5 linked regions of the Xenopus tropicalis genome follow. The protein of the gene in region 3 interacts with the protein of the main gene of each other region in a pairwise test. Links are inferred from orthologs where the notes say so. Each region holds a gene or a part of one and is shown on either strand. Other genes may lie near its edges. The genes, in order: plekhf1, ttc19, l3mbtl3, prkaa2 and ngb.

Evidence for each region.
Region 1: the proteins of l3mbtl3 (region 3) and plekhf1 interact in binary tests that used the Homo sapiens proteins (3 or more experiments, as listed by UniProt). The two-hybrid records come from large-scale screens. The link is inferred for Xenopus tropicalis from reciprocal best matches to the Homo sapiens genes L3MBTL3 and PLEKHF1.
Region 2: the proteins of l3mbtl3 (region 3) and ttc19 interact in binary tests that used the Homo sapiens proteins (3 or more experiments, as listed by UniProt). The two-hybrid records come from large-scale screens. The link is inferred for Xenopus tropicalis from reciprocal best matches to the Homo sapiens genes L3MBTL3 and TTC19.
Region 4: the proteins of l3mbtl3 (region 3) and prkaa2 interact in binary tests that used the Homo sapiens proteins (3 or more experiments, as listed by UniProt). The two-hybrid records come from large-scale screens. The link is inferred for Xenopus tropicalis from reciprocal best matches to the Homo sapiens genes L3MBTL3 and PRKAA2.
Region 5: the proteins of l3mbtl3 (region 3) and ngb interact in binary tests that used the Homo sapiens proteins (3 or more experiments, as listed by UniProt). The two-hybrid records come from large-scale screens. The link is inferred for Xenopus tropicalis from reciprocal best matches to the Homo sapiens genes L3MBTL3 and NGB.

What each region holds. Positions count from the first base shown.
Region 1 is NC_030680.2:71,403,043-71,407,095, forward strand, and holds the start of plekhf1 (pleckstrin homology domain-containing family F member 1), read right to left. Parts: upstream 2,807-4,053; 5' UTR 2,633-2,806; intron 1-2,632. UniProt on the Homo sapiens protein: May induce apoptosis through the lysosomal-mitochondrial pathway. Translocates to the lysosome initiating the permeabilization of lysosomal membrane (LMP) and resulting in the release of CTSD and CTSL to the cytoplasm.
Region 2 is NC_030678.2:29,750,549-29,753,632, reverse strand, and holds the end of ttc19 (tetratricopeptide repeat protein 19, mitochondrial), read right to left. Parts: intron 853-3,084; coding exon 719-852; 3' UTR 509-718; downstream 1-508. UniProt on the Homo sapiens protein: Required for the preservation of the structural and functional integrity of mitochondrial respiratory complex III by allowing the physiological turnover of the Rieske protein UQCRFS1.
Region 3 is NC_030678.2:83,409,736-83,412,564, reverse strand, and holds part of l3mbtl3 (lethal(3)malignant brain tumor-like protein 3), read right to left. Parts: intron 2,669-2,829; coding exon 2,558-2,668; intron 2,445-2,557; coding exon 2,330-2,444; intron 2,206-2,329; coding exon 2,106-2,205; intron 2,031-2,105; coding exon 1,869-2,030; intron 248-1,868; coding exon 146-247; intron 1-145. UniProt on the Homo sapiens protein: Is a negative regulator of Notch target genes expression, required for RBPJ-mediated transcriptional repression. It recruits KDM1A to Notch-responsive elements and promotes KDM1A-mediated H3K4me demethylation.
Region 4 is NC_030680.2:87,584,470-87,588,732, reverse strand, and holds the start of prkaa2 (5'-AMP-activated protein kinase catalytic subunit alpha-2), read left to right. Parts: upstream 1-1,455; 5' UTR 1,456-1,461; coding exon 1,462-1,555; intron 1,556-4,263. UniProt on the Homo sapiens protein: Catalytic subunit of AMP-activated protein kinase (AMPK), an energy sensor protein kinase that plays a key role in regulating cellular energy metabolism.
Region 5 is NC_030684.2:82,757,746-82,762,044, reverse strand, and holds the start of ngb (neuroglobin), read left to right. Parts: upstream 1-1,489; coding exon 1,490-1,593; intron 1,594-4,299. UniProt on the Homo sapiens protein: Monomeric globin with a bis-histidyl six-coordinate heme-iron atom through which it can bind dioxygen, carbon monoxide and nitric oxide.

The sequences.
Region 1 (4,053 bases), on a different chromosome or scaffold from region 3:
TCACCTTTAAAATGAACTTTTAGTATGATGCAGACAATGATATTCTGACACAATTTGCAGTTGGTTTTCATTTTTTGTGTTTTTTAGCTTTTTGTTCATCAGCTCTACAATTTGGATTTTCAGCCACTATCTGGTTTCTAGGGTCTTGCTTACCTTAGCAACCAGGCAGTGGTGTAAATGAAAGACTGAAATATAACTAGGAGAGGGACTGAATAGAAAGATAAGTAATAAAAAGTAACAATAATAATAAATTGTAAGATCACAAAACAAAGGATTTTGGCTGCTGGGGTCAGTGACCCCCATTTGAAAGCTGAAAAGATGTAGAAGTGGAAGGCAGATCATTTGAAAATTATAAAAATTAAAAAATGAAGACCAGTTGCAAAGTTGCTAGAAATAGGACTTTATATAACATACTAAAAGTTAACATAAAGGTGAACCACTAGGTAACAAAACATCAGTTTTTCTCCCTTTTTTATATTACCTCCATTTCCTTTTGTGAAGACTTTTTTTCTAATCCTAATCCATACTTTGGGCATCACCATATAAAATAAAATCCTCCTAGAGCCAAAGCTTTTTTTGTTCTATGCTGCTTCTTTCTTTTACGTAATAGTGATTATTACTTAGCGTCACATTGGTAGTGTACATCTTTTTTCAGCATAATGACTAGAACTTACTCTGAAAGTAAATTCTGCCTATTTATAATTTAAAATTAGAATATACCATTACCTTCACCCCTTTGTTGTGACTGTTTACCTTTAAAAGAAACGTCCATCAGATGTTTCTAAAAGAATCAGGAACTGATATTTCCAGTTTGGCATTTAGACTTAACTCAGGTTACAGAACTGTACATCAATGTTTCTCATTTTGCAGTCACTTCTTTTATTATGGAGAGAAGCTGACTTTTTTTTCCATAAAAGTATCAACAGTATCAAAAGTGCCAACACCATAGATTCTATGGTTATGGGTTCCACTTTAATCTATATTGTGCTGAATGTTACCTATTTTGCACTGAGATCAAAACGAATCAACAGTTTGTTACCCAAAACAGCAGTTTGCAGAGGCACCTGCTGTTAACATTTGGGGGCATATTTATTATGCTGTGTAAAACTAATTCGCCGAAAAAACGGAGTAAAAAGCTGTGTAAAATAAATGGAAAAGATCGCCGTCTGAACGCCGGATATTACGCCGTTACTTTCCATAAGTTCCGGTGGAAGAAAAAACGCGTAAAAAATTATGCCGTTTTATACACGGCGAAGCCTGCCAATGTGTGGTGAATTTTCTTGCCGTTTTTACACAGCATAATAAATATGCCCCATAATGTAAGGCTCTCTATTACCACTGCCTTTTGATGCTTCTAAAGTGTGCAATACACCAATAAAAGTTCGCAGCTGACCGGACATTCATGTCATCTGTACACAGCGCTCCTAAGCCCTTCTCCCTCTGTGGTTATCCCTTCTTTATCCTCTCTTCCTCCATTGGTGCTCAGACCTCCTTCATCCATTCCATCAGGACTGTAGGTATGAGATCAAGGTTGCCAGGTTGGCATTTTTTCTGCCTACCTGGGGTACTATTTTAAAGCTGTGGCAGGTTTCCAAAGTACTAATCTGCCTAGGTATAGATGTGGGCTAGTTTTTGAAGTCTAGGTGGGTATATACTTTGGAATTCCTGTACTTTTATAGAAATTCTAGCCTCTAAGTCCCAGCCTGTATGTACTACAAGCTTCTTCCTGGTGCATCTGGTATGTGATTATACTACTACTTTGTAATGTGATGTGGATGGCCGGCATTTGTGGTTGTTAAACTATAACTCTTAGGGTTTCTGAGAGTTATAGTCAAGCACAGCCATATGTATATCATGTCTAGGGTTAATGCAATATTCTGAATATGCCTCTTCTGTGATAACCTCGCTACTTTCCCACTTTGACAGCCCTGATTTTTGTCATCCAGCTTGCGGTTCCCAGTTGCCCCTCCGCTGTCTATGATGGAAAAGTCTTGCAAGATTTGACTCTGATGTCATTCCTCTACAATCACATTATAAAAAGCACTGCTGCCTGGAGACAAAAGATGGGGAGCTTGATGGAACTGTGCCTGTCGTGAAATGCTTCAGCGCCATAATGAAGTGCTTATTGTGGTATTTTGGTGGTGTGGCCACAAAAGAGTGCATTACTAACTGCTGCGCTACCGACATGGCTGCGGGAAAGCCTAGCTCCAGAACTGACAGAATATGAGAAGCGGACATGTCCAAACAGTTGAAATGACAGAGCACTGACTGTTAAGAACATGCTGTACAAATATTTGTTAGAAGAATGTCCTACAATCTACAGTATATACAAGTTACAGTTTACTGCTTAGATCACTATGCATCAATTAGCAGGAAATGTTTTACAAGCTAGGCCATATAACAAAATCTGCTATAACAGGTTCGAGGGAGAATACTGCAAATCTTTTCTTATTTGGGAATATTGGAGGGAGCTAACATACTGCTTGCCCTACAATAATAGGTTTGCTTTGCCCGAGTGATCAATACAGAACCCCCTGTCTCATACAAGGGATTACATTTGTTTTGACAAGTAATTGCATACAGCTGTTGCTTTCAAAACGACAGTAGCAAGCAGAGCAGTGATTTTGCTTACCCTGCGCTCTAGATATATCGTTCCAGCAGAGCGCTCCCTGTAGCGCGACGCGATTCCCTGTTACAGCTTCAAGTTCTGCAGAAAAGTCTCAGAGCAACGCCATGCCGCTCCCTGCCACACGATTTCGCTACTGTCAGCAAGTTATGTCCTTTATAATGCAGGCAGGGAGAGTTCCCTCATGACCCACCCGTCACCAGTGGCTATTATCCCGTGATGAGAATGCAATGAGACTATCGCCTCCGCTGCCCACAGACAGCCCAGAAGTCAGGCCCCGCCCCGGGGAGAAACACGTGTCTATGCTGGCTGCCAACAGGTCTAAACAGAGAATTTCTGATTTCCTCCGAAAGTGCTGACGAGAGAGGAGCTGGCTGAGTAGTTGTTGTAATGCTTCAGTCTGCTATTCCTGTCACTCCGATATGGAATGTCCCTTATGGAACGTGAGGGTTTTTGCAAGGGTGGAACAAAGCGGTACTTATGTAATTGCCATGTGGCATACTTATGGTTTTATTAAGACATTTGCTCTGTTTAGGGACAGACACCACAGCTGTAAAAAGTCTAAAAAATCCAGCAAGCAGTTGACTCCAGTTATTGCAGTTTATTTTAAAGGCCACGTCAACTCCCCAACCAAAAATTTTATCAGTGAAAAGCCTCACAGCATTCTTTAAATGCTTGCTGCTCCGGGTTCTTCAACGAAGCTGCAGCGATCCCTTGATTTGTCTCCCTCTGTAACTCCCTCTCACCCTCCCTTCAGAATTTTGTCTCTTGGCATAGTGCACATGCGCACTTATAATCCTTTTTTAATGAGCATGCCGAAATCTGTCTATTTGGCGTGTAATTTATAAAGTTTGATTAAAAAAAACCTCTTCAAGACAGCCACCCAGTTTTACCCCACCCTGCCTCGCACTTGCCCATTGGTATTAGTTACCTGTCACACAATTGGCCAGTCACCTTTAGCAGAACGAGGCACTACAGCCCATTCCCCTACCCCCTCCAATATTCACCATAAGGATTCAAGAAAAAAAACCCAGAGATGTGTCTATGGAAAAATCTGTTGGGGGGGGTCACAGAATTTATTACTAATAATTGCCAAAAAAATGGTGGGGCATTCCCTGAAACCAGCTGTGGCTCCTAAAACACTTTGTGGGCTCAATGTAGGGCAGAGATTGGGTAGCGCTCTTGAGGGACCAACCTTTTCTCTCTCCCTGCCCTTCCTTGTGCAAAATATCTCTAGCCTGGCTCTAGGGTTGTGACTACTCCTCCTGGCTAGGCTTGCACAGAGCCAAAGTGATCCTAGGGGCCATAACTGCTTCATGGAATTAATAAATGATCCAGAGGAAGGCAAAAAACCTTCCAGTGCTGGGTAATTCTGTGCTTAAAGGAGAAGGAAAGGCAAAGTCACTTGGGGGTGCCAAAATGTTAGG
Region 2 (3,084 bases), about 54 Mb from region 3:
CAGGCCAGATGAGATCCTCACCCACAAGCACCTCACACTAGCTGGCGGCTTACCCGAGGGTGAGACAGGAAGCACAGCAGTGGAAAGAGGCTGGAAGGCCGAATAGCGGAGTACCGAAGGAGTAGGCAGAAGAATAGTCAAACAAGTCCGGGTCTTGGCAGGCAGCAAGGATTCACAGGCAAGGGTCAGGCAAGAAGGTCAAATCAGCAGGTCAATAGGATACAGGATGCTAGGCACAAGAGAGCTTGATAACCGAGCGCTGTTGCCTAACTGTTTTGGCTATTTAAAGGGTTTGCATTTGGTGCCAAAACGTAACATGCGTCAACGTAATGATGCGCACGTAAATTGTCGCGAGCAGATTAGTCTCGAGCAGGAATAGTCGCGTGCGTGTGACGGCATCTCACATGCGTTCCACCTGGTTTTGTGCCTTCCACCCTGATCCGTCGCACACGCTGCGGGTGAGTTGCCTTACATCTAGAGGTAATGAAATTAAAAAGGACACAAATGCTTCCTGAAAATAAATCTTTTACTCCATAAAAGTTTGTATCTTGCAAATAAGTTATACATTTCATACATGAACAAGTCCTGGTGGCATTCACACCTTTGATGCCCCTTTGGACAGCTCGGAGTGACAAAGATGGCAGCAAAGCACAGTATTCTGAGTACATTTCCAATCCAAAAATCTTTAATACCAATGTTCTCTTTTCAGTATGATCAGCTACCCCTTTTTCCTCCTATCAAGTTCAGCCAGACCTTCTTGAATATACTGTACAGAAGCAGAGTCCCCTTTCTTCTCAGAGTGCTCAAGCGCCTCCTTAAAAATGCGTTCAGCTTCTGCAAAGTGTTCTTTCCCTAAATGTCAAACAGAAAAACGGTGTAGGGTATGGTCCAGAAATTACACAAACTAACACACAAGGGTTCAGGCATTACATTGCAGAGGTGGAACTAGTCAGGCTGAATTTTATAAGCTTGGAAGACAGAAAAAATAGGGATGCACCAAAAACATTGTTTTCTACCAGCTGAATACAGAATTGAATCCCAGCCCTGACTTGAACAGCCAAAATTGAGAACAAAGGAAATATTGCGTCCCATGTGAACAAAAAATTGCCACACTTAATTGTTTAGTGCTGTAATGTCACATGACTTTAAGGGTTTGGATTTGGCATAATCTGTTGTTCGGATTGTAATGAATTCCATACTGAAGTAAAATCACCAGTCCACGTGCTATCCTATTGACAAACTGTTGCATGCCTGCGCTTTGCAGAATATTCAGGTCTGACCAGTATGTGCAGTAGATTCCCATGGTGGGGAATTATATCAGTCCACACAAAGCATGTGATGTAGCCACAAGTGTCTTATCTTATTCGGAACCTGTCACACTGTAAAGTATTTTATTTTCCCCCTTACTGACTTGTAATTTTAGTTCCATAAGAGCAGAAATGTTGGAACACAACATGTTCATTCATATAATTAACATGCTATATTATGGCTGGCAGTGCTATTTCTGTTAAGTTGCAAGCAATTTTCTGATGGACATTGGCAGTCAGCGCTAAGAAGGCAATTCTGTAAATAAGCTATTGTCATTCCTTTTTTTTTTTTTACAGTTACTTAGAAAGACTCCATTATAACAGATGGTAGAGCCCCTAGATCAGGGACCCCCAACCTTTTATACCCATGAGTCACATTTAAATGGATAAAGTGTTGGGGAGCAGCACAAGTATAAAAAAATGTTCCTGGGGGTGCCAATAAGAGCTGTAATTGGCTACTTAATAGCCACTATGTGGACTGGAAGCGTACAGAAGGATCTGTTTGGAATTCAAAAATGAGCCCCTGCTTTGAGGCCACTGGGAGCAACATCCAAGGGGTTGGGGAGCAACATGTTGTCCTCGAGCCACTGGTTGGGGATCACTGCCCTAGATGGTTATATTCCCACTAACTAAGGTTGCACATTTAGGAGTATGAGTTAAGTGGAATAATAAACCTTATATGTAAATAGGATTTTCCCTATAAGTTTATAGCTAACATGCACAGAAAATTCATTTTGTGCATGCTTTTCATTTTTTTTTTATTACTTTTTTATTATTATGTATTTGCTATACAGGGGCTAAAACTAGCTGCTGATTTAGTCACTCCAGAGGTGGAACCTTGCTGGGCTTGCTATGCTATGGAGGCAAAATGACAACCTCCGTGACTGACAGAACAGAGCTTTATTAGATATATTGTGGCTATGCGGACAGCATTAGACTCTCTTGAAGAGTGCACACAAGGCTGTTTGTGGCCAAATAGTGTCCCGGTTTGCTCGTTATGCAAATGAGTGTGACATCACACGCGTGTGAGTAATGCACAAGACGGGAGGCTCTTTAATTAAGTGCATGTGTGTAACCAAACATGGCCGCCAACAGCAAGAGGTCCCATTATGGTGCAGGCGGCATAGCACTCACAGAGCATTTTTCTCTCAAAAGCCAGATCCACTGTATACATTTTTGTGCCAAAGGGAGTGGATTGGCCCATTTTACATTAGCAGAGAAAACTCCATGTATGCCACTAGCCTAACACCTACCTGCCTTAGGTAAAGCAATATATTAGCACAACATGAAGTCAAGTGCATTACACATGTCTAGCTAAGTCTAAATAAAATAATAATAATATGGCATCTTCCATTTAGATATATAACTGCAACCATTAAGAGCAGTGATTCCCTTCCCTCAGGAGCAACATATTGCTCCCCAACCCCTTGGATGTTGCTCCCAGTGCCCCCAAACCAGGGAGTTATTTTTGAATTCCTGACTTGGTGGCAAGTTTAGGTTGAATAAAAGCAAGATTTACTACCAAATAAAGCCTCCTGTAAGCGGATAGTGTGCATAGAGGCTGCCTAATAGCCAATCTTAGCCCTTATTTGGCTCCTCCATGAACTTTTATGGTGCTTGTGTTGCTCTCGAAGTCTTTTTACATGTGACTGTGGCTCACGAGTAAGAAAGGTTGGGGACCCCTGATTAAGAGAGTGCTGCACACAGACAGCTCTCCGCCATGCATTGTTAATTAAGGGGATAGAAAAAGTAAAAAAAGGAAGAGACGTGATATATA
Region 3 (2,829 bases):
GCCCAACCTTACTTACATAACCCAGGGGGTCCCAATGATCTATGTGCTAATAATTGTTGTCACATAGTGAAGGGTCCTGCTAATGATGATATAATTCACTGATCTGTCAAGACTGTCACTATGCTGTATAAACCTACAGACTCACCTCTTGATCTGTGGTTTAGTTTCAGTTTCCTCTTCTAACCACTCAGTTCCCTCCCACGGATTGCTCCGTCCCCAGCGTTCCTCTACTGGAATTGGAGATTTTCTGTATGTAGCAAAAGTTATCATGTGATAATTAGACCACCAATAGCTAAGGCTAGCTTAATAGATCAGTGGCCCTCGTTAATAAACATAGGAAAACACTGAAACCAATGTGACATTTGCTTTCAATAATGGTACCTGATCATAGTTAAAGGGGTAGTTTGCTTTTAAGTTAACTGTTAGTATGTTATAGTCTGTTCTTAGCAACTTTTTAATTGATCTACATTTTTAATTTTTATAGCTTTCAACGGTTTGGCTTTCTCTTCTGACTCTTTCTAGCTTTCAAATGGGGGTCACTGACCCCAGCAGCCTAAAACTATAGCTCTTTGGAGACTACAATTTTATCTTTATTGTTTTGTTTTAAATGTATTAATTATTTTTCTATTTAGGCTCTCATTATTCATATTCCAGTCTCTCTTTTAAAGCACTGCCTGGTTGCTAGGTCAAACTGGACCCCAGCAACCAGATAGCTGCTGAAATTCCAAACTGGAGAGATGCTAAACAAATAATAAGTAAAAAAAATAAGTAATAAGTAAAATAATTAAAAAAAAATGCAAATAATAAGAACGTAGAAAATAATAAAAAATGAACGCCAATAGCAAACTGTCTCAGAACAGCACTCTCTACATTATACTAAAAGTTAATTCAAAGGTGAACAACCTCATTAACATGGAATCAAAACACCACAGCATAATCTAGTTGATAATATAATTTAGGATGAAACGCTACCACCAAATTTCTTTTTTGACTGATAGACTGCCACGGAAACTTCTAACTTTTATATTTTATAGGACATGCTGTTAAAACAAGCCAGACACTCCTCTCAGGATAAACATTGTCTGCACTGCAATAGCAACAGGAATTACTTCCACAAAGAGTAAGGGAAAAATTTTTACTGAGCATTGTGTTTGTCAGATTTCTTACATTGCATAATAATCCATTCTTATTTTAGTTATCAGGGTCATTTTAATGCAATCATAGTATGGAACTCTCTTGCATAACTTCACACTAGCAGAACCTGCAACCACGGGGTGGCCTGGTATTTACCCACATCTCTCTTCAATACATCATTGAATCCAAGCAGGTGGATGGTGAGGAGGTGTGCTGCTTGCTGCTGTGGTAATGCATTGTGGAGAGCACCAAAGATGTTTTTTTCTGATACATAATACTACCTACTTTGTTATTAGTTAGGGCATATATTTGTGTTAATATATGCTCTAACTCTCAGCGTTTATATAGATTTATTATAAATTAGTGGTGTTTAATGTTTGTGTGACCTATAGAGGTGTGCTACATAAAAGCGCCACAATAGCTTTTATGCGCATTCATGTATCTGCATTCCAAATAAACACCTGCAATATGCAACCCATGGTGGCACTCCACATCAATAAAATCACCCTTCGGCGGAGGAGAAAGTACCAAAGTTAGACTTGGAAGACATCATATGTTGCATCGGGCTGCTGTAATCACTGGTAACAAATTAGCAAAAAAAAAAAAAAAGTTTTTCTTATTTGTCGACTGATCATAATAGAACGGTGCATGTCTGTTTTTTAAACAGGGACACTATTTTCATTAAAGATAGCTCATACAAAAACAAAGATTTAAAAACGTTTTAGTTATATCACCTTGATTGGGGGAAGTCACTGGAATCTGTTGTAGGACTAGGTGTCCCTGGCCTACGTGAACGAGTTGCGTTTTGTACTGGTGATGGCCGCTCCCCGCTAAGACGATCCTGTAGCAAATTCTCTCTATTCAGATTAACTTCTGAGTATGGGCAGCCCACAGCACTATGAAAGAGATATAAAAAGTATATTATATGTGACCTTCTGTTCTTTCAGGCTCATGGTGTCGCTCTCACTTACGTGTAATGTGTGCCATATCTGGATCCCCTTACATGCCCAATTCCTGTACAGCCAGCAATGGGACATCCCTGCCCGGCTACAGCAGCCATGTCTGAGGCACCTGATTAAAGAAATGGAGAACTGCATATGTTGAATTCTACCGGAATACCCCAATTTCTCTAATACTAATACAGGGTAATGCAAATTCTAATAATAAGATTCCCCATGTGGTTTAAATATCTTACCAGGAGGCAACTGGAGTGCGTGTCCAGTCTTTGCACACCATCCTACAGGGTGAATATCAGGGCTGTCAACATCCACCCAAAAATCATACAGGGAACTCCATCCATCAAAATGCAACTAGAAGAGAGTTCTATAATTGTCATGGTGCAAATCAAATACATATATACCTAACATATTTTGTTCCCTGTGTTATTATATATATTTATAAAAATATCTGTATTAGAAATCACCTTAATGCGGTTATCATCTTTCTGGACAGTGCTGCAGACTCTGATTAACATAGGATTTCTTTGGTCCACTGCTTCTAGCTTCATTTGTGGCTGATACCCATGAGGGGGGCGCTGTGATGAGAATATAGAAATAAGAAGGAAGAGAAAAGGAGAGAAAATTTAAAAAAAAAAAAATAAAGTGAAAGTCTATAACTGTCCACTTCATACCTGGACATAAGAAGTCCTATTTCTTGGGGAGGAGGCTAAAAGTTGTCTATGTAAATGGGTAACTT
Region 4 (4,263 bases), on a different chromosome or scaffold from region 3:
TCTACAACATATTAAAAGTTAATTTAAAGGTTGACAACCCCTTTAAACAGGAGAAAAAGCATCCAATTACTAATTGAGGCATAAATAAATAATTGGGGCATAGGTGAGTAGCCCTGTAACCTGCATTTTACAAAGGCCCGTGTTTGTTGGAAGCCCACAAAGGACTAGGTCTAAAGGTGGCCATACACGCACCAATAATATCGTAATTCGGTGCGTGTATGGTATTTTGGCCGAGTCGACCGATATCGCAGGAAGCTGCTGATATCGGCCGACTCGCCGATCGGACCAGTTTGAAAATTTTGATCGGGCGCCATAGAAGGTGCCTGACCAAAATCTCCCTTCAGCGCTGAATCGGCAGAAGGAGGTAGAAATCCTATTGTTTCTACCTCCTTACCTGCCGATTCAGCCCTGAATGGTGTGTGGCGGATCTGACGATGTTTCGTGCGACCATCGGTCAGATCGCCACGTGTATGGCCAGCTTAAGGCTGCAGGATTTTAGGGGCAGCATGCAACCAAGCCGCATCTATATTGGTTCCGAAGCACTACGGATGTGCAGGAGATTTGATTTAAATCTCTGCTCGCCAATCAAGCTCCCCAGTGCTCTGTTCCCAACAAGGGAAATTTGCGTATGCATGCACAATGGGAAGGGTGGCAGATGTGCCAAGCAGTGACAGGGGCCTAAGGATGCCCACTAAATCTGGGCCTGATTTTACAGGACTCATTTAATACAAGACTTGCTTTCTGGATTCCGCCAGCAGGGCACAGAGTTCAGGTGCCAAACTGCACATGGGTAGTGATCTGTCTCTCTTTGCCTTGGTGAAATATTTATTAAACCATGGAAAAATTTTCAATTTAAAGGCAAAGGGTTGTTTTACCACTGCTTTTTTTCTGCACAAAATACTTTGAAGTCAATGGCTATTTTTTGCTGCTTTTTTTTTTTCTTTTCACACAAAATATCTTCTTTTCTTGCAACATTTTTCTCACGCTTTTTTGCTTCAAACATTTTTGTGACTTTTAACTTTCCACCTAGCCCACATGTAATATTTACTTGTTCTCCAGATGTGCTCCTCCTTCCTATGCCAGAATGGATTGCCAAATTGCCTCTCACTGTATTTTGTTTGTGAGGACCATAGGGCTCCTTCCCTTGTGCCTAGCCTTTCATAAATAAACCCAAACGAATTGAACATGATATGTTATAGTTAGCTCATTTGGACTGCAAAAAAAATAGAAAAGCGAATTTAAATTCGAATCCAAGCGACGTGTGTTTCAGTACCCTGGGCAGCAACTGGTCATTGCTCCTGCGATTTAGGACCTTGCAGGGCTGCCTGCTCTTGCACGGCATGAAGCCACGCCCACTGGGCTGTCCCTGCAACGGGCTCTGTCAGGATCCAGCCTTTGGCACGCACCTGTCATTGCCTGTGCCAGCTGCATTGTGGGTACACAGACGAACAGAATGCAAAGATGGCTGAGAAGCAGAAGCACGATGGACGGGTTAAAATAGGACACTACATCTTGGGTGACACGCTAGGAGTTGGCACCTTCGGAAAAGTGAAAAGCTGAGTATATTCTCCAGAGCTTTGCTATGTATAGATATACTTTCAGCATCATCAGAACCTGTTTGAAAGCAGAACATGATGCTCCTTGAGTAGAAGGTGCAGGGAGATGAACTGATTGAAGTGCATGGATCATGCAAGCACTTTTTATGAGTGTAAGGTACAGAGGGTGAAGCCTACACAGAGTGCAGTGTAACATTACACAGTTAACATGGGCAGCATCTTTGCTTAATGATCTGTTATTCCTGCAGTTTTTTTTTATTCTTGCTGGGTGCTTCCCAAGGGATGCTGCAGGGGTTAGTTTAACCTCTAAAGCCCTACTGTGGGAGTTAAGGTGACATTGAGGGCAGGAGAAAGGGCAGTGGCAGTGTCTTTATTTATGTACTGTATTATAAACAATAAGCAGTGCAAACAGGAATTGTAGTAAAATGTCAGATATGTGTGACTGCCCGAGTCAGCCATTGTGTGTGTGTGTGAGTTGCTGTACACTTCCAGAAGCTGTGCTGGTGCTAGGGATTTAGTAACTGTGCTGCTGGATGGCAGTGTGCCAGTGGAAAATACATTCTCATGGATTGGGAAGGAACTATTTTTCAATTTTTAATAAGAGGCTGATTGGCTGCTTTTCAGCTTATGTGCAAACTGTTCTTGTTGAACCCAGCATCAAGGAATTGTTACTTGTCAGTATAGACAGGGTGAAAACCCGACAAATCTCTTTTTCACTGCCAATTTATTTGCCAGTGTTTTTAAAAAAAAAGTTGTAAAGGCATCTCTTTAGGACATGTACAGGCCACTGTTATACTTACTTACCTATTGCCATGTAGTAGCTGCGCAATTGTTAATACAATAGCAGTCACATGGATTTCCAGTAGATTTCTATTCACTAGGAAAGTTGTAGCATTTTATTTGAACCATATAGCAATCCTGCATTTAAGTCAAGCAGGTCATTAAAAAAAATCTGCACATTAAAAATGATTAAGACATTGCAAAGTGGTAAGAGGAAATCTGTTGTAATCTATTAAAACCCATCAATCTTTAAGGAATATTTTAGTGCCAAGTTACCTTACAACTGGAGGACAGGAGCACCCACAACACTTTCTTTCTTTGGAACCTGATTTTTAAGGCATTGGAAATGTAGTACTTTCAAGTGATTTCAGTCAAATAAGAAGACCTTTCAGAAATTTGGCCTGATTCAGTTTCATGGTAAAAACATATTTAATGCTTTATCTTGTCCAGACTAGAACCCTTGCGGTAGGCAATAAGTTTCTCATTAAGCTAAATATGGCCATTTGTGTCAAAAACCACAGGGGAAACATCAAAGATCAAAACAAGATGCTATATACCTGTTGCAAATGACCATGCACATAACAGTGTATTGGAAGGACCAGTAGAACCCTTAAAGAAGAAGTAAAGGTTCAGTCACTGGGGGGAGCCAAATATTATGCACCCCCAGTGATTGTAATCCTTTACCTGATACCCCAGACCAGTGCTCCTGTTATCAGAAAACTGAACTGGCCAGGCGTACATGCAAGCAAGCGATCCCCTTTTTTCTTCTTTTTTTCTTCAAAAAAGACAGCTTTTTTGTTAAAGGGGTAGTTAATCTTTTAGTATTTTGTAGACAGTGACATTCTGAGACAATATGCAATTTGTCTTCATTTTCCGTTATTTAGCTTTTATTTAGCTCTCCAAACTGGTATTTCAGCAGCTATCTGGTTGCTAGGGTATGATTTTCCCTAGCAACCAGGCAGTGGTTTGCGTGAGAAGCTGTTCTGTACCAGGAGTACTGGCCTGGGGTATCAGGTAAGTGATTACAATGATGGGTGATTACAATCACAGGGGGGCACCCACCCAGTGATTAAACATTTCCTTCTTCAAGGTGAGGATTTAAAAGCATGTTAACAAAATTTAGAAGAGTTTAACAACACAATGGGGCTTATTTACAAAGTATAGCACAGGATGCATGTTGCAAAACTCAAGATGTTAAACCAACATTTTTTTATATCTTTTGCACACTGCCTTGATGCAGGTGTTGGCTCTCCAGAATGGAGTGCAAAGACTTGCATTCCCCCTATGAATAGAGGTCTGTCTGTGTTCTGCAACAGTGTTTTCATGAGGGATGGGCACGAGAGGCATGAAAGCATCCTCTCTGCTGCCCCCTAACTTGCACATCATTCAGATACGAAAGTTAGGGAGATGTGGCAGGCACAAGTTGCAGCAGATCCGTGTACTTAAGGCTTTAATTAGATGTAAGAAATATATCATGCACTTTCATTTCCATATTGCGCTTACTTTGTATATAGTTTGTATGCATAGTTTAAATTCTAGCTATTGCTATAAAGTGCAGAAAATAGAAATCAGTAGTGCAGTAGCATATGCTGATACTGAAATAAATACTGAAAATTATCCATATTGTTGGGAATGCTTAACTGGCAAGATTATAGAAGCTCTTGCAAAGAAAACAAACTTAGTAATAAATCCATTTTTGAATCAACAATTATGCAGGCACTTAGTCCCCCATTCCACACAAGCACAAAGCATCATATATAAATTCATGGATGCTGGTGCACATTACACAATATACTGTATAGTTACCTAAGAACATAGCTTCTCCCAAGGATGCACAACCTGTGAAATGCACTGTGCTCTATTTCTGGCATCCTGGGATTATGTTTTTTGTTTGTATGCATTGCAAAGACACCACTGTCCGGTGTGT
Region 5 (4,299 bases), on a different chromosome or scaffold from region 3:
AAACTACAGAAAAAGGCTCTATTTCTGTTGTGTTATCTAAAAACAATGTAATAATGTTTCTGGATATAGTGCCTCATAGACCTTGTGCATTTATGCATATGCTAATGCTTTTTTTTTTTAATATACATCTTTTAAATAACACTGCTGCAGTATGTTTTGACTGTGTACTTCTAATTAAGGGGTCTATTTATCATGCTGTGTATAAAAATAAATGGTGACCAAGTACAAAACATAATTTACAGCCTTGCTTGTAAAAAAAAAAAGGTGTATAAATTATCATTGTAAAAGTTTTTCGTGTAAAAATCCAGCATTACAGGCAGCACCTGCTTTTAAATGGTGGGTAATAAAACAGCAATCCTCCAGCAAAAAAATTGCCATTTTTACCTCAAAGTTACTTGCCACACAGTCATTACACAAAGCCTCTTTTTAAACTTTTTTTTTATTTGATAAGAGATCTTATGCTGTATAAATATTAATATACGGCTGTTGGCTAAACAGATCTGCAAAGGAAACATTTTGTAATAATTTACTCTTATCCCAACATGTCCTGGAATTGGGATAAAATGAGGTGTAAACAACATTAGACTGCCCTGTGTACATGCCCTAAAGCCCTTATTGCACTTGCTGCTGCTGATAGACTTCTGGTTTCTTAATTTGGTGCTCACTGTGATATTCACACATGACTATTGTGCAATCCAACTGGACTGCAGTCTGGTGCTCCTACCGCCTGCTTTTTCCATGATCTTATATTTGGGGACACCACTTTTATAATTCCTGTGTGCCCTGAGATTGAATGATCAGTTGGAGGCCACTCATATCAGACAATTGTAATTCCACATCTTAGAGATCCAAATGATTCCTTTCACAGGCATTTACACAGAAAAATATTAAAAATCAACTAAACATCATTGTAATAACATATATTTTATGGGCCACATTTTAAGAGGTTATTAGGTTACCAGATAACTTTATAAATCGGGCATGCTTGTAAAAAAATGCAGCCACAGGGGATAAACTGATTGTACTTGATGTGAATGCATTGGCAAACAGTGCAGCCCAGGAAACTGTCTGTTGTCTGTGGACAGACTTGTAGCTTCTTGTTAGGAGCACTGTGACTTTAAATGCAGAAAAGGATGCTGTGACAGGGAGGGGAAAGGAGGGGGCAGGCGATGCAAAGCCAAAGACAGGCAGAGGATGCACAGAGAGAAGGCTGTAGTGACAGGAGATAAAGTGAGGGATGGTATAAATGAGGAAGCAGTGGAAAGGAAAAGACAAGGGCAAAAGATAAAGGAACACATTTTTCCTAGTCTGCTGTTTTGAGACGGTCACACTTCTGGCAAATGTTCCTTTCCTAAGCGTTTAGTGTCCCTGGGCAACTCTGGACCCTGGGCTCTGATAGGTAGGTGCAAAACCACAAAAACAGGTTATAGTGTTACATACAAGAAATAGCAAAGGGGGAAAAGTTAGAAGGAACTCAAGCCTTAGTACCATGGAGAAAGATCAGCTGTCGGGACCCCAAAAAGAACTGATTCGTGAGAGCTGGCAAACAGTAAGCCAGGACCAGCTGCACCATGGAACAGTACTATTTTCCAGGTAAGAGACTGGCAGAGTCAATGACCAGGTGAAACATTTTAGCAAGCACCTGGTAACAGTGACATTTTTCAGTTGAAAAGGTAAGACACAGCAGTATTGGCACAAACTGGTGTCTGTAACTATAAGTGGACTGTATTGGTCATCAGAAGTTCCACGTGAATGTCTGATACGTGTAGTTCACCAAGTAAAATACTGGTACTATGGCATCTGCCAGGTAAGTGCATTTTGCTGGTAAGGACAATGGTGTGACCTGCAGATGAGACACTGACAGCAAGTGTTTTACTTTGTGAGAAACATAATATTGTTGTATTGTAATGACAAGTTACAGTGATATGCACATAATAGGTTGCATAGAATTATAGGGGATTATTAGACTTTGCTGTTCATTTTTGTAATCTTGCATCAGAGTAGTCCAATAAAAGAAATATAACTGAAGAAGAAAATTACATTTATAGGGGAGCCTTGCAAAGCTATATAACTGATGGCAGGTTAGGGCTACTGGATGACTTGAAAATTAAGGGACATATCTAGAAAATCTAGCTGTGCTGGTTACAATATAATTTAAAGGCAATTGGTGCATCCCTAAAATGTGCATTTATTTGAGGTGTCCCTACATTTTCAAGGGTGAGAAACTGGCATGTTCAGAGAATATATATATTTTTTCTCTCTCTCTCTCTCTCTCTCTCTCTCTCTCTCTCTCTCTCTCTCTCTCTCTCTCCATATATACATATATACATATAATATATGAATGACACAAGACAATTTTAATGTTTATTAGTTATATAGTAATCAGTACTACGATCTGGCATGATGTGCAAACAAAAATGACAACATTGTGACAATAAATAATAGAATCTGGGGTTATCAGATATTTATAAAAAATGGTATTTATGGAAAAGCATGGTGGGATTATTTTATATCAGACCACAAAACATATGTTTTGCATCTTAACTCTGGCATTTTTATCTGTAAGCGTGCATATTCTTGTGCTCTAGCTTTCTACATGAGAACTGCAGCTCTTCTCCTCTCTGATAACCTTCCCTCACATCTCTAAGACTTCTCTTCTGCTGGAATTCACTGGCAAGCTCCAGATCAGTTTTCTTACTAAAACACATTTCACTGGCACTGATTCTAGTTTTCTGCTGTCTCACATAAATCTCTAATTATACTGACTGTAGCAACATTCTCAACTGAACTGAATAGATCAATACTAAAACATTTCATATGTTTTAATATTTGTTATTTAAACAAATAACAGTTTTAAACAAATAACAGTGGCTAGTTATATACATGGGTGAGTAGTTAATACTGGAGGCATCCCTTATTTTGAATAAATAAGGTTAAGAGAAATGTTGGACTTTATTACAGATAGATTTTGATGCTGAATTTAGAGGATCAAGTACATGAAAGATCAGTTATAAGACTGATACAGATGCTTTATGGTTGATTAAATTCTGATGGGGTCATGTTAATTGTATGTTTCAAATAAATTAATAAGCCATTCAGACACAAGTCCTTTATAGCAGATTTCAATTATACTGAAATTCAGTGATGTAACATGACTGCCAGCACATCAAAGGGAAGCTAGCTACTTGCTGTCGGCACATTTAATATGCTGAAGAGGTACTCTTTTGGATTGTGTGATCTGCAACATAGGGACTTAAAAAAATGTTTGGAAATCGTGACCATATAACATGTATATTGAATCAAAAATGATAACATTCAAAGGAAGCTGATCATGGTACAAGCATCAATACAATAAAGTAATTGCAATGGCACATTATCAGATAAAATAAAGATATAGATAATTTGGTAACATGCAAGTATGGACATATTTTCATTGATAGGATGGGGTGAATGTTTGTGAGAATGGGGATGCAGAATACATTTTAAAAAGTGATGATGTCGGGGGAAGTCAGGGCAGAAAAAGAACAGTATTCTGAGGAGAATGTGGGTGAGAGTAAAATATAAGGTGTGGCAGAACCCCTTCACTCATCAGACCTGGGGAGCCCAACTTTCTTACCTGTGAGCCACAGTCAAATATAAAAAGACTTAGGGAGGTGCCAAATAAGGGCTATTTGGTAACCTCTATGCAAAAGCTCAGCTTTGAGGAGTACATAGTGTTCTTATTTAAGAAAACTTGCCACCAACCCAAGAATTCAAAAATAAGCACCTGCTTTGAGGCCACAAGGAGTAACTTGTTGCTCACAAGCTGCTGGTTGGGGATCACTGCATCAGTCTATACTAAATACTGTTTCTCTGCCTATAACACCTCCATATTGCATACCAAGGGAGTGAAAAATAAAAGGTTATTAGATATTGGGGTCAGCAAAGATAAGTAAAATAGTGAAAGGCTGGCAGACTAAAGTGGGTGTAAGAAAACGTGATACCATGCCAGGCATCTAGAGATCGGTGGGTAAGGATTGCAAATAGGTTAGCAGATGGTACAAAGCTATGTGGTGGAGTCTATCCAATATGTTTTATCCTTGACCGTGTTTTATCCAGATTTCCTAATAACTTGTTTTACTTATTTTCCTATTCCTAATGGCCTATTATTGACCTGATAGTCTGCTTCTAGCAGCATGTATTTTCACTATTATTAAAATAATGGACAATTTACCTTTATTTTCCCTTATTTGTAATCATGCATGACATATTATTAATAATAGTATTTGTTTGTGTAAGCACACTTATTTGCATTTCCAT